Xenopus tropicalis: one gene and its partner. The protein of the gene in region 1 purifies or fractionates together with the protein of each later gene. This does not show direct contact. Links are inferred from orthologs where the notes say so. Each region holds a gene or a part of one and is shown in the gene's direction. Other genes may lie near its edges.

Region 1 (6,095 bases):
CCTGTCCACAATTGCTTTCAGGGCATAATGAACCCAACTTTTAATTAACTAAAGGAGTAAAGTGCCATTTGCAGCTCCAGTGAATAGATTAAGATTTAAAAAAAAAAAAAAAACATATGAATGTATATATACTAAATTCATGGAATATAACTATTTCACAGTTTTCATTGCTATTTATTTACCTGTTAATCAAGATATACATTTTTCGTAAAACAACACCAACTGTTACCTTTGTATTTTTTCTGCTTGTTTGTAATACCTTAATTACTCCACTGACTAATGGACTTTAAGGGCAGTGGCACATGTAGCCTTTTGTTCTTTGCTACTCAGAAGAAGCATTCAAAATGCTGAGAATTGCCATGGGCAGCTTCTAATTAACAACAATGGGAAGCTCCATGGAGTGACCTTCATCAAGAACGACTGTGTGGGGGTGTTTATTTCTTTTCTTAGGGCTTTCTGAGCCAAACCATGGGATATGCATTATTAAGAAGTCAATTAAACACAAAAGGCCTGGTGGGTACTTGTTTAGGCAACCAGTGAAAGATGTTTGCAGATATCAGATATGATTGTAAATATGATGGAATAAAAGATTTGTGCTATAGAATAAAAAAATAAAAGCACATAAAAACACATATATTGCCTTTATATGTGGGTTTTAAATGAGCCAAAGTATGTTTTTGGTTGAATATAATGGAATCAGATAGCTGATGTGTTGTAGGTGCACTCAAACACACATCAGATGCATAAGCCCTAAAGATACCATTCTTTTGCACTTTTTTATTTTTGTCACTTTTACAACATACGTAGTTTTTTCTATGTTAAAACTCCATTCTTCATCTGCCTTGTTTCACAAATGCTTGACCATTTCACTATATAAATAATTTTTTATGTGCATTGTTACTGACAAACATGAAAATGTATAGGTGATTGAAATTTACATTAGTATGGCTGGCCTAAAGGAGCACTCTGTGGGTAATATAAAGGTTCACTTGTTATGTGTGTGGACACCTTAAAGGTGCACTGCAAAGGAGGGTCCTATAGGGTGTGGGCAACCTGAAAATCTGAAGGTACACAGTAGCCACATGATCAAACTTTGCATCACCTATCTATGTCAGCTGATTTATATGTGTGCTGCTAAATAGGTACCCAATTGAGTGTGCTTTATTAAGAGATGGCTCTCAGGTGTATTCTAAATATACACCAAAAAGCAATACATACTGCAGATCTAAACTTGTGTTATTAATAAAGTATACACTGGAAATGCAGGCAGGCACTCAGGATCACCAAAACATGTTTCAAAGCAGCTCAATTTAGAGTCAAAACATTTTCAGTTTATTATGTCCGTACACAATGCCAAAAAGCCTTACACATTTTGTACCAAGAGGGGTACTTAGTCATAGCCATAATGTATGGGGCATATTGTAAAAGGCAAAGAAAACTACCAAACCATTCCAGTGAAGTTTTGAAAGAAAAGGACATATTCTTGCATCTGGAGGCATTATCTTTCCACTCATACCAAAAGGAGGATGTTCCAGTGGAAGAGCTCTCAGAGAGGTAGGTCTGCATGTGCAAAAAGAAACTGCTTTCTCCATGCTGAAGAACAGGACATGTATTTAGCATTGGAAATTGTAATTCATTACAGTCATATGCAAATGCCTACATATACCTGTGGTTCTTCCACACTGTACACAATTAACAGCCTCTTGTAAATATGCCTTTAATTTACAATCAGCCATTTTCTGTACTTTTTTTTCACAGAATATAGAAAACAAATGTTTGACTGAGCCAAAAAAAAGTTACAATTAAAAGAAAATTACGTTTACGTCTAAACAATAAAATCTTTCCAACTGTTATTGCATTCCTTCTGGAAGAAGGAATTAAAACATATATTTATATGGCATGAGTCTGGGATTGTGCCAAATAATTTTAAGTGTTCAGTTGGAAATCAAGGACTTGTTACAAGTGATGACTTGGCTCAGATACCTCTAAGGAAGAATACCAAAATCATTTCTTTTTTTCTTAAGAATGTATCCTTATAAGGCCTATTGTCAGGATGTATAAACAATGAGACAAGGGAGGAGTGAGCCCTCTGTGCAACTTCTCCACGGGATCCAGTAATATCTGCTGCAGGCCAATGCAACAGGGAATATTATTCTGGATGGCAGAGCTGGCTCTTCTAATCTCTGCATAAGAAATCTGAGCTACATGACAGAGTTTTGGCTTGTCGTGTCTGATCATGCGGTGCTCCAGAAATAAACTGTAGCCTACAAAGTCTGTGTTACAGGGCAGTTTCGCAGAGGCAGAGGCAACCTGCTGCAGGGGAGGACAAGGGTGCAACTTATGGGCTGTCTGTGAGCCCTAGGCACTTTAACAAGCTCATTTCATTCTCCTGGAAATATAAAGGTAACGCTAGCATGCATTCTACCAGCATCCTCAAACAATGCATTCTTTTATAATGCTGCACTGAATACTATTCAATGAAGTATTTGGTGTTTTACAGAGAAAACAAATATGAGAAGGCAAATAATTAAAGCAAGTTAGAGCAAACTTTGTACTTTGCTCTGAGAGCTTCCATTTTCTTTTTTATGTATTCAAGGATTAAGAATGCTTCTCTTCTTAAATTATAATTTATTTGCAAATCACTATAGTCATTTTATTTAAAATGCTATTCATGCTTTTAATTTAGCTTGGCTACCTATACCACTGGCAATCCCAGACCGAGACTGAGCACAGAGTCTTAACTTAATGTCTGGGCAGTAACTTGCAAGGAATGTAGCAGTCTCCAGCAATCAGCCAAGTTATTTTATTCTTGCAAATATTTAAAAAAAAATGAAATCCTTTTAAAAAGTATACACATACAGCCATGCATTTTCGCTGCTTTTTCACTTCTTTGCCATTCCAATTAAGGGTCACAGAAAGGAACCATATTTAGAAATACCTTGCTAAGATTAAAAATAATTACCATAACAAAAAAAAAATAACCAACAGAAAGAGATTTTTTTCCTATTTTTAGCTTTTTAGTTGATAAACTGCAACTTTGAACATGAAAGGATGTCAGGCACAGCTTTTCCAACATTGATCTACTGTGCAGTAAGTAGCTTATCAATAGCAATATGACATGTAGTGTGGTGCAGTACAAGGTGCACTGACATTGGATAAAGATGCATGGTCAGGCCAAGCAAGTCAGTGTCATTGATCTAGACAGACAGGCTGGTCTTTGCCACGGAACTACATTTGACCTGGTAATGATGAATATACAGTGTTCTCCTGGCCAAATTTATTTCACAGGCAGTTTTATATAGACTGACAGATGGTGCTGCTCTGGATTTGTTTACTTGCTAGGTTTGATCTTTGGAAGATGCCAATATTGGTGCTTCAAATTTAGTTTCCCGTATTAAGTGATATTGCATAAGTGAAACATGTTATTATGTCTGACTGTTGCTTAACCACAGTTCAGTCAGCTGTTAAAACCTATAAGTAAACATCAAGCAATTTATCAGATCATGTATCATTATACGTAAGAGGGAACTTACATAAAGGGAACTTCTGAGGCTGACTAATTACACTATAACAACATTTATCATGTATCTTTTTTTATAACAACCAAGGAGCAAAATCTCTGCAACAGGATCCTGCTTTGAATTACAGTGATGAATGAAGTTAAATGGAAGTTGGCAGTTGCTCATGTTTAAAAGAGTGTTGTATTTTGCAAGGTTCACACTGTAAAACGATATGCACTGTGCTGAACTGCTGAGCTTGCTTACTGGGATCAGTGCTGGGAAAATTACACAAGCCTCCAGCCAAGGCAATATGATATAACTTTAGTAATACATTTACATTTCTCTGTCCTATTTAACAGAATGCCTCCTAAGATTATAAGTACATGTTATCAAGTTTTCAAACATCAGATGTAAGTGGCTTAGAGACTCAAGATAGCTATGATGTTATGTATGTCACCCCTTGTGATGTAATGAAGTCCTGTTATTGGACAACATTACTGTCTATATGTGGCCAGCTAAAGGTTGCACAAAATGGTTGATTTGGCTGCAGGTTGATTTTAAAGGTGTTTACGAATACACTGTTTATAGATGGGATTTAATTACAGCTTTCAAGATAACAATAAACTGCTGATCACATTCGTATTAATAATTTAACATACATAAGACTGTACACAGAGTAATCAATATCATTTAACTTACTGATAATTCATTATAAATCAAGTGAAAGTAAATCTTTTTGTATAAGGCATTTTAAGGAATTCTTTTGTATGTATCCACTCTACAATCAGTGCTTAGCTTGAGGTTATATTATACTTTCCAGCTCTAAATGAGTTGTGCTCAAGCCAAGTTTGTACCTATTAAAATATAAATAAGAGAAATGACTATGATCTAGACAAGGTCAAACTTCAATTGCAAATTTCTTATTAAGAAACCTAAGTGATGAACACCCCGAATGCTAAGTAACCTTGTAAATATAATACTAAAGGAGTCATTTACAACAGTGTGAAAAGTGCAATTTTGGACACAATTCATCAAGTTTTGTGCCACAATTCCAGCATTGTGCCTGATTTTTGTTGCCACAATTACACACAATTCCAGCACAGTGTGCTTGAATACTGATGCAAATCAGGTGCAAGATGCATATAGCATTTCCAGGGTAAAGGTGTACATTTAAAATGGCATTTGCATTCAACTTACTGGACCCAAGTCTGGTGCATCTATTGATGCAAGCCACCGTTGAAACCTTGGTGTAACCACCAAGCCAAGGGGGGAAACAGTTTCAGAGTCACCCTGCATCACTTAATATTCATTAGAAAAGTCAGAGTTGAAACAATGTGCACCCATATGACAGAGCAGGAGCTAGTTTCTAACTAAATTTGTGGTGTTGCATGCAAAACATTTATTGGTCACAAGAAGTTTAGTGGTAAACAGCATGCAATAGATGGCTTCTTTCTTTTTTAAAACAGATTAATTATCTTACTGAATTGCACTCCCCATTGCGTCATTTTTAGTGCACTCATAAATGACCCCTCAATTAACCCCACAGGTTTACCCTTAGGTTAATTCATATGCACATACATATAACAATACAGTAAAAAACAGAGAATCAGTTCTCTTAGCAGGTCTTTTCCAAAGACCTGTAGGCTGGTTAAAAAACCAGCGACTGATTCAGGGTGAGAATTCCACAACTTCACAACTCTTACTGTAAAAAACCCTTTCTCGAAAATTAGGATGGAACCTTCTTTCTTTTAACTGGAATGCATGCCCTTATGTCGGCTGAAAATACCTACTGGTAAATAAATATATTATACGCCGTAATTGTTGATACCATTCATTTGTAACAATTTATCCCCAGTTAGAGTAGGTGTTTTCAGTGTGACAACTATGCTAAGTATCTCTTCTCTTGCTGCTTACAAACATGCTTTGAGTAGCCATCCATAATCTTGGGGAGCAAAACATAACATCAATAAGACTTCATAGTGCAGACAGAAATATATTCCTGAATCTAAAAATAAACACTGTGAAGTTTATTAGATGTCTTTGTTGTTATTTAGAGACAGCCACTGTATACTCTCCAACAATTTGCTTCACTGTCATGTGCCTAACTATACAGTGTAATAGGATCTGCATTGCAACTGTGAAGTCCAACATTCCAAGTGTGTGTGGAGAATTCTACCTAAAACAAGATGACATCAGTCTAAATGGGTGATTAATCAATGTCCATTTATGTTATTCATTGGATATACAGGGAGTAGCTCTTTTTCAGTACTAAACCTCCTTGGGGCTTCTGTAGACCTTTGGAACCAATATCTAAAATATTTCAAGTGTTTATTTGCAACACCTCATAATTTTAATACAGTTTCAGAGACATCTCACCAAAATATTGGGCAAAATTAAACACACATATGCCCCATCATTATATTTAAACAAATATCACAGTCACAATAAGACTTCATACAAGTGGGCAGAGAAAGTGGGTGAATTGGCTGATTTTCACTCATCCTGGCAAACTGTTTGTTTAGATGAGATATTACTATATATATTATACTTACAATATATACTAGTAATGGCCACTTAGGCAGCAGCAGGTGTAGC
Region 2 (5,934 bases), on another chromosome or scaffold:
TGGCTGCATTCCTGGAGGCAATACCTACACCAGTGATCCCCAACCAGTGGCTCATCCAACCCCTTGGATGTTGCTCCCAGTGGCCTCTAAGCAGGTGCTTATTTTTGAATTTCTGGCTTGGAGGTATGTTTTGGTTGCACGAAAACCAGGTCTACTAACAAACAAAACCTTCTGTAGGCTGTCAGCCAATACACAGTCTACCAAATAGGCAATTATAGCTCTTATTTGGCATCCCTAGGATTTTTTTTACGCTTGTATTGCTCCCCAATCCTTTGTATATTTCAATGTGGCTTACGAGTAAAAAAAGTTTGGGGACCCTGACCTAGACAAAAAAGGGGGGAACTGGGCACCATAAGACTAAGAAGCAATAAAAGCACTAGGAATAAAAGAGAAGCTAGAAAAAATGTTCACCACACTAGAAAAAAAAAACACCCGTAATTGAAATGCCTCTAGAATATCAGACCAAGCTTGTCTTTAGCTGAAGAAAACCCATAGAACAGAAGACACCTTAAATATCATCTAAGAGACCAAACACTGACTCTCCTTTACCCAACATGGGGCACAGTGCTCTTCCTTTCACTAACAGCCATCTGAGAAGCTCCTGGCCATCAATCTCTGCTGGGACCACATTCATACCTTCCCCCCTACCTATATCCATAGAGCCTGCACATATACAGTGTGAGCTTAGTGTAGCTAAGTGTCATCCGGCTGATACTAACCGTACTTGCAAATGTAAATTATTTTCTAAAAATCACTAAATGATTTGCTAATGCGCCGTACCCTCACTCACTGATATAGTGCATTGGCAGATAATTGGCTGATAATCTTTGGTTTGACAAGTTTGCAGGAAGATCTGTCAGAATGACTGTGTGGGACCTAATGAACATATTTTTGAATCATCTAGTTCCCCAGGGACCCAAGTTCAACTTCCCAGGCAGCGATTGCCAACCTTGCGAGCTGGTCCCGTGTCGTGGAGAGAGAACCCACTCTCACAGAACATGGAAACCGTATAAAAAAGGGGAAATCTAATTCATCAAATATATAAATAAAATTGGACTGAGAACTTCTGATCAGATAAATCAATTGTTTGCTTTCACTCTATATCTAAAGGTGGCCATACACGGACCGATTTTTTACTTACAAACGACCGATTCCCGAACGATCCGATGCTATCGTTAAGTTATCGTATAGTTGGTGGTGTACGAACGATCGTCGGCCCACTAAACGAGCCGACATTACCGTCCCCAAAATCGATCGGCCAGGTTTAAAAATTTTGGTCGTTTAACGATAAAATCTGCCAGTTGGTGTGAGTGTCAGACATTTGTCTTTCAACGATTGTTCTCTGCGCATGTCACGATTGCCAGCAGCAGAAGTCAACGACATCGATCGTACGTAGATGTACGATCGTAGGTATTTTACGATAATGATGCGACAAAATCTTTCCCGAATTATCGTTGCCCGTGGATGGCATATCGTATGGGAACTCGATCGCCATACGATCGTTTGTCGATATAATCGTTCATCGCACAACGAGCGAAATCGCCTCGTGTATGGCCACCTTTACAAACTCCTCCTAACCTTCAAAGCCCTCTATTCCTCTGCTCCTCACTACATCTCTTCCCTTGTGTCTCCGTACGTTCCTGGCCGACTCCTTCGTTCCTCGCAGAGCAATCGCTTGGTTGCGCCCCCCACTACTACTGCGGTTTCCCGCCTTAAACCTTTCTGCCCCTTACATTTGGAATGCCCTCCCTGATGTCCTCCGGAGAGAATCCTCCCCCAGTCTTTTTAAGACTAAACTAAAAGACTTTAGACTCACCCAGCACCTGATCTGGGAACTGGCACTTATATTGTAGTGTCACCCACTGTGACCTACAGCACTTATATTTGCCTATTTGTGTCTGTAAGTTACCCCTCCCATATAGATTGTAAGCTCTACGGGGCAGGGACCTCCATCCTCTTGTGTCTTTGACTCTTAACTTATTGCAGCTGTATTTATCTGTATTTATTGTTATACTTTGTATTTATCTATTATCTTATTAACACCCTGTTTACATTAATGTATTCTACTGTACAGCGCTGCGTACATAAGTAGCGCTTTATAAATAAAGATATATATATATATATATATACACATACATACATAAATACTCTACATGCAGCTGACTGAAATGAAGCTAATTGGTCATTGGTTGCTATAGGTTACTGCCCATGTGCAAATTCACCCAGGGTTGATAAACGAGCAAAATCATCCTCACCTAGGAATATATCAATGATAACACTTTTAAATATAAACCTAATGTTCATTATATTTGTCACTAAACACAAATACTGACATCAGGCAACACCATGCTCCGCCCCAGCAACAAATCGCAGCGCCTTTCCCTTAACTGTTTCGGGCGAATAGAACCAGTATAGCTATTGGTTGCTTCTCTAGGGGCGTAACCCTATGTCTTGCGTACTGGGATTGGCTCTACAGATATATTTTGCTAAAGCGATTGGCTTAGCTTAGCCTGTGCTCTTCTCTCATTGGGTCAATTACCGCAGCACATCGAAAGGATTGGCTATCTGAGGAGCCGCCCCCTGCCGGTATGGCTGCTTTGCGGGAGGAGCACGGAGCGAGCGGACCCAAGATGTTCTCCTTGAAGAAATGGAACGCGGTGGCGATGTGGAGCTGGGATGTGGAGTGCGATACGTGCGCTATCTGCAGGGTGCAGGTCATGGGTGAGAGATACAGCTCGCTGGCACTGGGGCGAAGGCTTCGTGTTGCGGGAATTACCTTCCGCTGCCAGCAGCAGCCCTGCTTGGGGAATCGGCCATACAGTCTCTGGTGGGGGCCGGGGGTTACTGTCACCTACTGAAATGACAGGCGCACACAGGCGGTATATGGAATATACCATTACCCTTCCTGTATTGTCATCCTGGGGGGAGAGGGACATCCCATTCCTAGTAGCTTTTTATGCCCCCCTGGATGACTCAAATCTCCATAGACAGTAATGTTGCTATAGCCCCTTGGCTATTTAGCATCCTTCCCCCCCTCCCTGTGCCAATGCTTTCACCCCCCCATCTGCCCCATCTGTTTGGATTTTGCCATGATATTCCCTGTGGGACTGCACCCATGCCCACCAGTTACACTACTGCCCATACACCCCATTGTGTCACATCATTTATTCCCATACACCCCATTGTGTCACATCATTTATTCCCATACACCCCATTGTGTCACATCATTTATTCCCATACACCCCATTGTGTCACATCATTTATTCCCATACACCCCATTGTGTCACATCATTTATTCCCATACACCCCATTGTGTCACATCATTTATTCCCATACACCCCATTGTGTCACATCATTTATTCCCATACACCCCATTGTGTCACATCATTTATTCCCATACACCCCATTGTGTCACATCATTTATTCCCATACACCCCATTGTGTCACATCATTTATTCCCATACACCCCATTGTGTCACATTATTTATTCCCATACACCCCAATGTGTCACATCATTTATTCCCATACACCCCAATGTGTCACATCATTTATTCCCATACACCCCATTGTGTCACATCATTTATTCCCATACACCCCAATGTGTCACATCATTTATTCCCATACACCCCATTGTGTCACATCATTTATTCCCATACACCCCATTGTGTCACATCATTTATTCCCATACACCCCATTGTGTCACATCATTTATTCCCATACACCCCAATGTGTCACATCATTTATTCCCATACACCCCAATGTGTCACATCATTTATTCCCATACACCCCATTGTGTCACATCATTTATTCCCATACACCCCAATGTGTCACATCATTTATTCCCATACACCCCATTGTGTCACATCATTTATTCCCATACACCCCATTGTGTCACATCATTTATTCCCATACACCCCATTGTGTCACATCATTTATTCCCATACACCCCATTGTGTCACATCATTTATTCCCATACACCCCATTGTGTCACATCATTTATTCCCATACACCCCATTGTGTCACATCATTTATTCCCATACACCCCATTGTGTCACATCATTTATTCCCATACACCCCAATGTGTCACATCATTTATTCCCATACACCCCAATGTGTCACATCATTTATTCCCATACACCCCATTGTGTCACATCATTTATTCAAATAAATGATAAAAAACATAAAGTGTTGGCTACTTGTCCCACAGCATTGATGTTAATAAAGGATCTAGTTCTCTATATTGTGAAATATACACAAACAAACACTATATGGTTTGAAGTATCCAGACTCCCCTTCAGATTAGTGGAAGTTATTATTTAAGCCACACTTCAGTCTCATTACTGATCTGGGGGTATAATGAAGCACCAGCAACAAATATTGCCAAACTTAGTGATTTTTAACATGGCATCATCATAAGATGTCTGTTTTGTTGCTATTTAGTTTGTGAGATTTTGGTGCTGGTGAGATGTAGGTGGGAAAGTGAAGTAGTGGGGCCTGGATACTCGCAGGCAATGCTGAGCGCAGATTACAGCACATATCCGTCAGTTGGAACACTCACTTCTGAGCTCCACACTGTTCCTGAAAGCAATGGCAGCACAAGAACTGTTGGTAAAGTAAGAATAAGGATTTCTATGAGAGGGCAGTGTCACGCAAGCCTAACATTTGGAATGCTAAGCTTCTCCTGGGGAGGATATTGGGAGCAGTGGGAACAGGCCTTTGTCAGATGAATCCCTTGTTACCATCCTAGTTGTTTACCAAATGAGTGTGGGTGACAGACACCAGCTGGACACTCCCTACCTGAATGCATAATGCAGATTTAAAGCTTGGTGGGGAGGAATAATAATCAGTTAGGGCCCCATTGAAAGAAACAGTGTACTATACTGTTAATGACGGTTCCATGTTTTCTACTTTGTGACAACAGTTTGGGTACAGTTCCGTCCTCTTTTATCCATACTAGTCTTCCTGTGACTCTCATGGACCCATTCAGTTCCTGCGACTATCCCATTAATTTACATTGGCATTAAATCCCTACCTCACCCTGGTCTATGTAGAAATGAAAAATCTCATGTCAGATAGGTCTGTCTGTGATTATATACACACATGCACCTCAGATTGGATTCAAGCCTCTTCTGCATGGAATTCCTTCCTGTTTAGCCACATTATATAATTTATTTTTTGCTGCTGGGCAGAAGAGGGTTATAAGAGGAAATATTTTAATGGAAGGTGTGTTTTCCTTTCTAGATGCCTGCCTGCGCTGCCAAGCTGAGAACAAACAGGAGGACTGTGTGGGTATGTTAATAACTGACTGGATTTCTAAGCCCGGGGAGAGAGTTCATGGCTACCTAGTAGTGAGTGGATTAAGATGCTGGGCTTACGTCACTGTGTGCATGGGGTCATTCCTTCATAGTGAAGGGCAAATGTCTTAAGCAGTGCTTGCTTTTTATCCTGATTGGAATTGTCTCCTAGAGCTGATCTTTATCTTTCTATACTTTATTTCCTGTCAGTGTTTGCCTAGCTCTCCACATTAGAAATAAGCTTGAAGGCAGCGAAAATCAGGAAGTACATGATCTGTTATAGGATAAGGGGAGGCTAATACACAGGGTTGGGTGCCAATATGCCAGGTACCCCCAGTGTTTGTAATCGGACTGGTTCTGTAGTTTATTAATGATTGCACTGATCCTTTCTCACTAAGCTATGTACCAGCATCTTTGTAATATGTTAAGTGGCTATGACTTTGGGCCCTACCCAACCTCCCCAAAATAATCCCCCCCCCCCTTGACATTGCCAGCACTTCCATTTGATTGGGGAGTAAATGCAGGTGAGAAGATTGTACCTCAGTAGTTAAAAGAACATTGTATGCCATAAGGGTAAATCAACTCCAAGCTTCTCAAACCAGCAATGTTATTAGTGATGATTATGGGATGTAACCGTTTA

What was found.
Region 2: the proteins of asb2 (region 1) and rnf7 purify together in Homo sapiens (affinity purification with western blotting; 3 studies listed by BioGRID and IntAct, with this or other methods). This does not show direct contact. The link is inferred for Xenopus tropicalis from reciprocal best matches to the Homo sapiens genes ASB2 and RNF7.

The regions. Positions count from the first base shown.
Region 1 is NC_030684.2:88,131,971-88,138,065, reverse strand, and holds the start of asb2 (ankyrin repeat and SOCS box protein 2), read left to right. Parts: upstream 1-2,173; 5' UTR 2,174-2,403; intron 2,404-6,095. UniProt on the Homo sapiens protein: Substrate-recognition component of a SCF-like ECS (Elongin-Cullin-SOCS-box protein) E3 ubiquitin-protein ligase complex which mediates the ubiquitination and subsequent proteasomal degradation of target proteins.
Region 2 is NC_030681.2:129,412,891-129,418,824, forward strand, and holds the start of rnf7 (RING-box protein 2), read left to right. Parts: upstream 1-2,549; 5' UTR 2,550-2,588; coding exon 2,589-2,721; intron 2,722-5,241; coding exon 5,242-5,289; intron 5,290-5,934. UniProt on the Homo sapiens protein: Catalytic component of multiple cullin-5-RING E3 ubiquitin-protein ligase complexes (ECS complexes), which mediate the ubiquitination and subsequent proteasomal degradation of target proteins.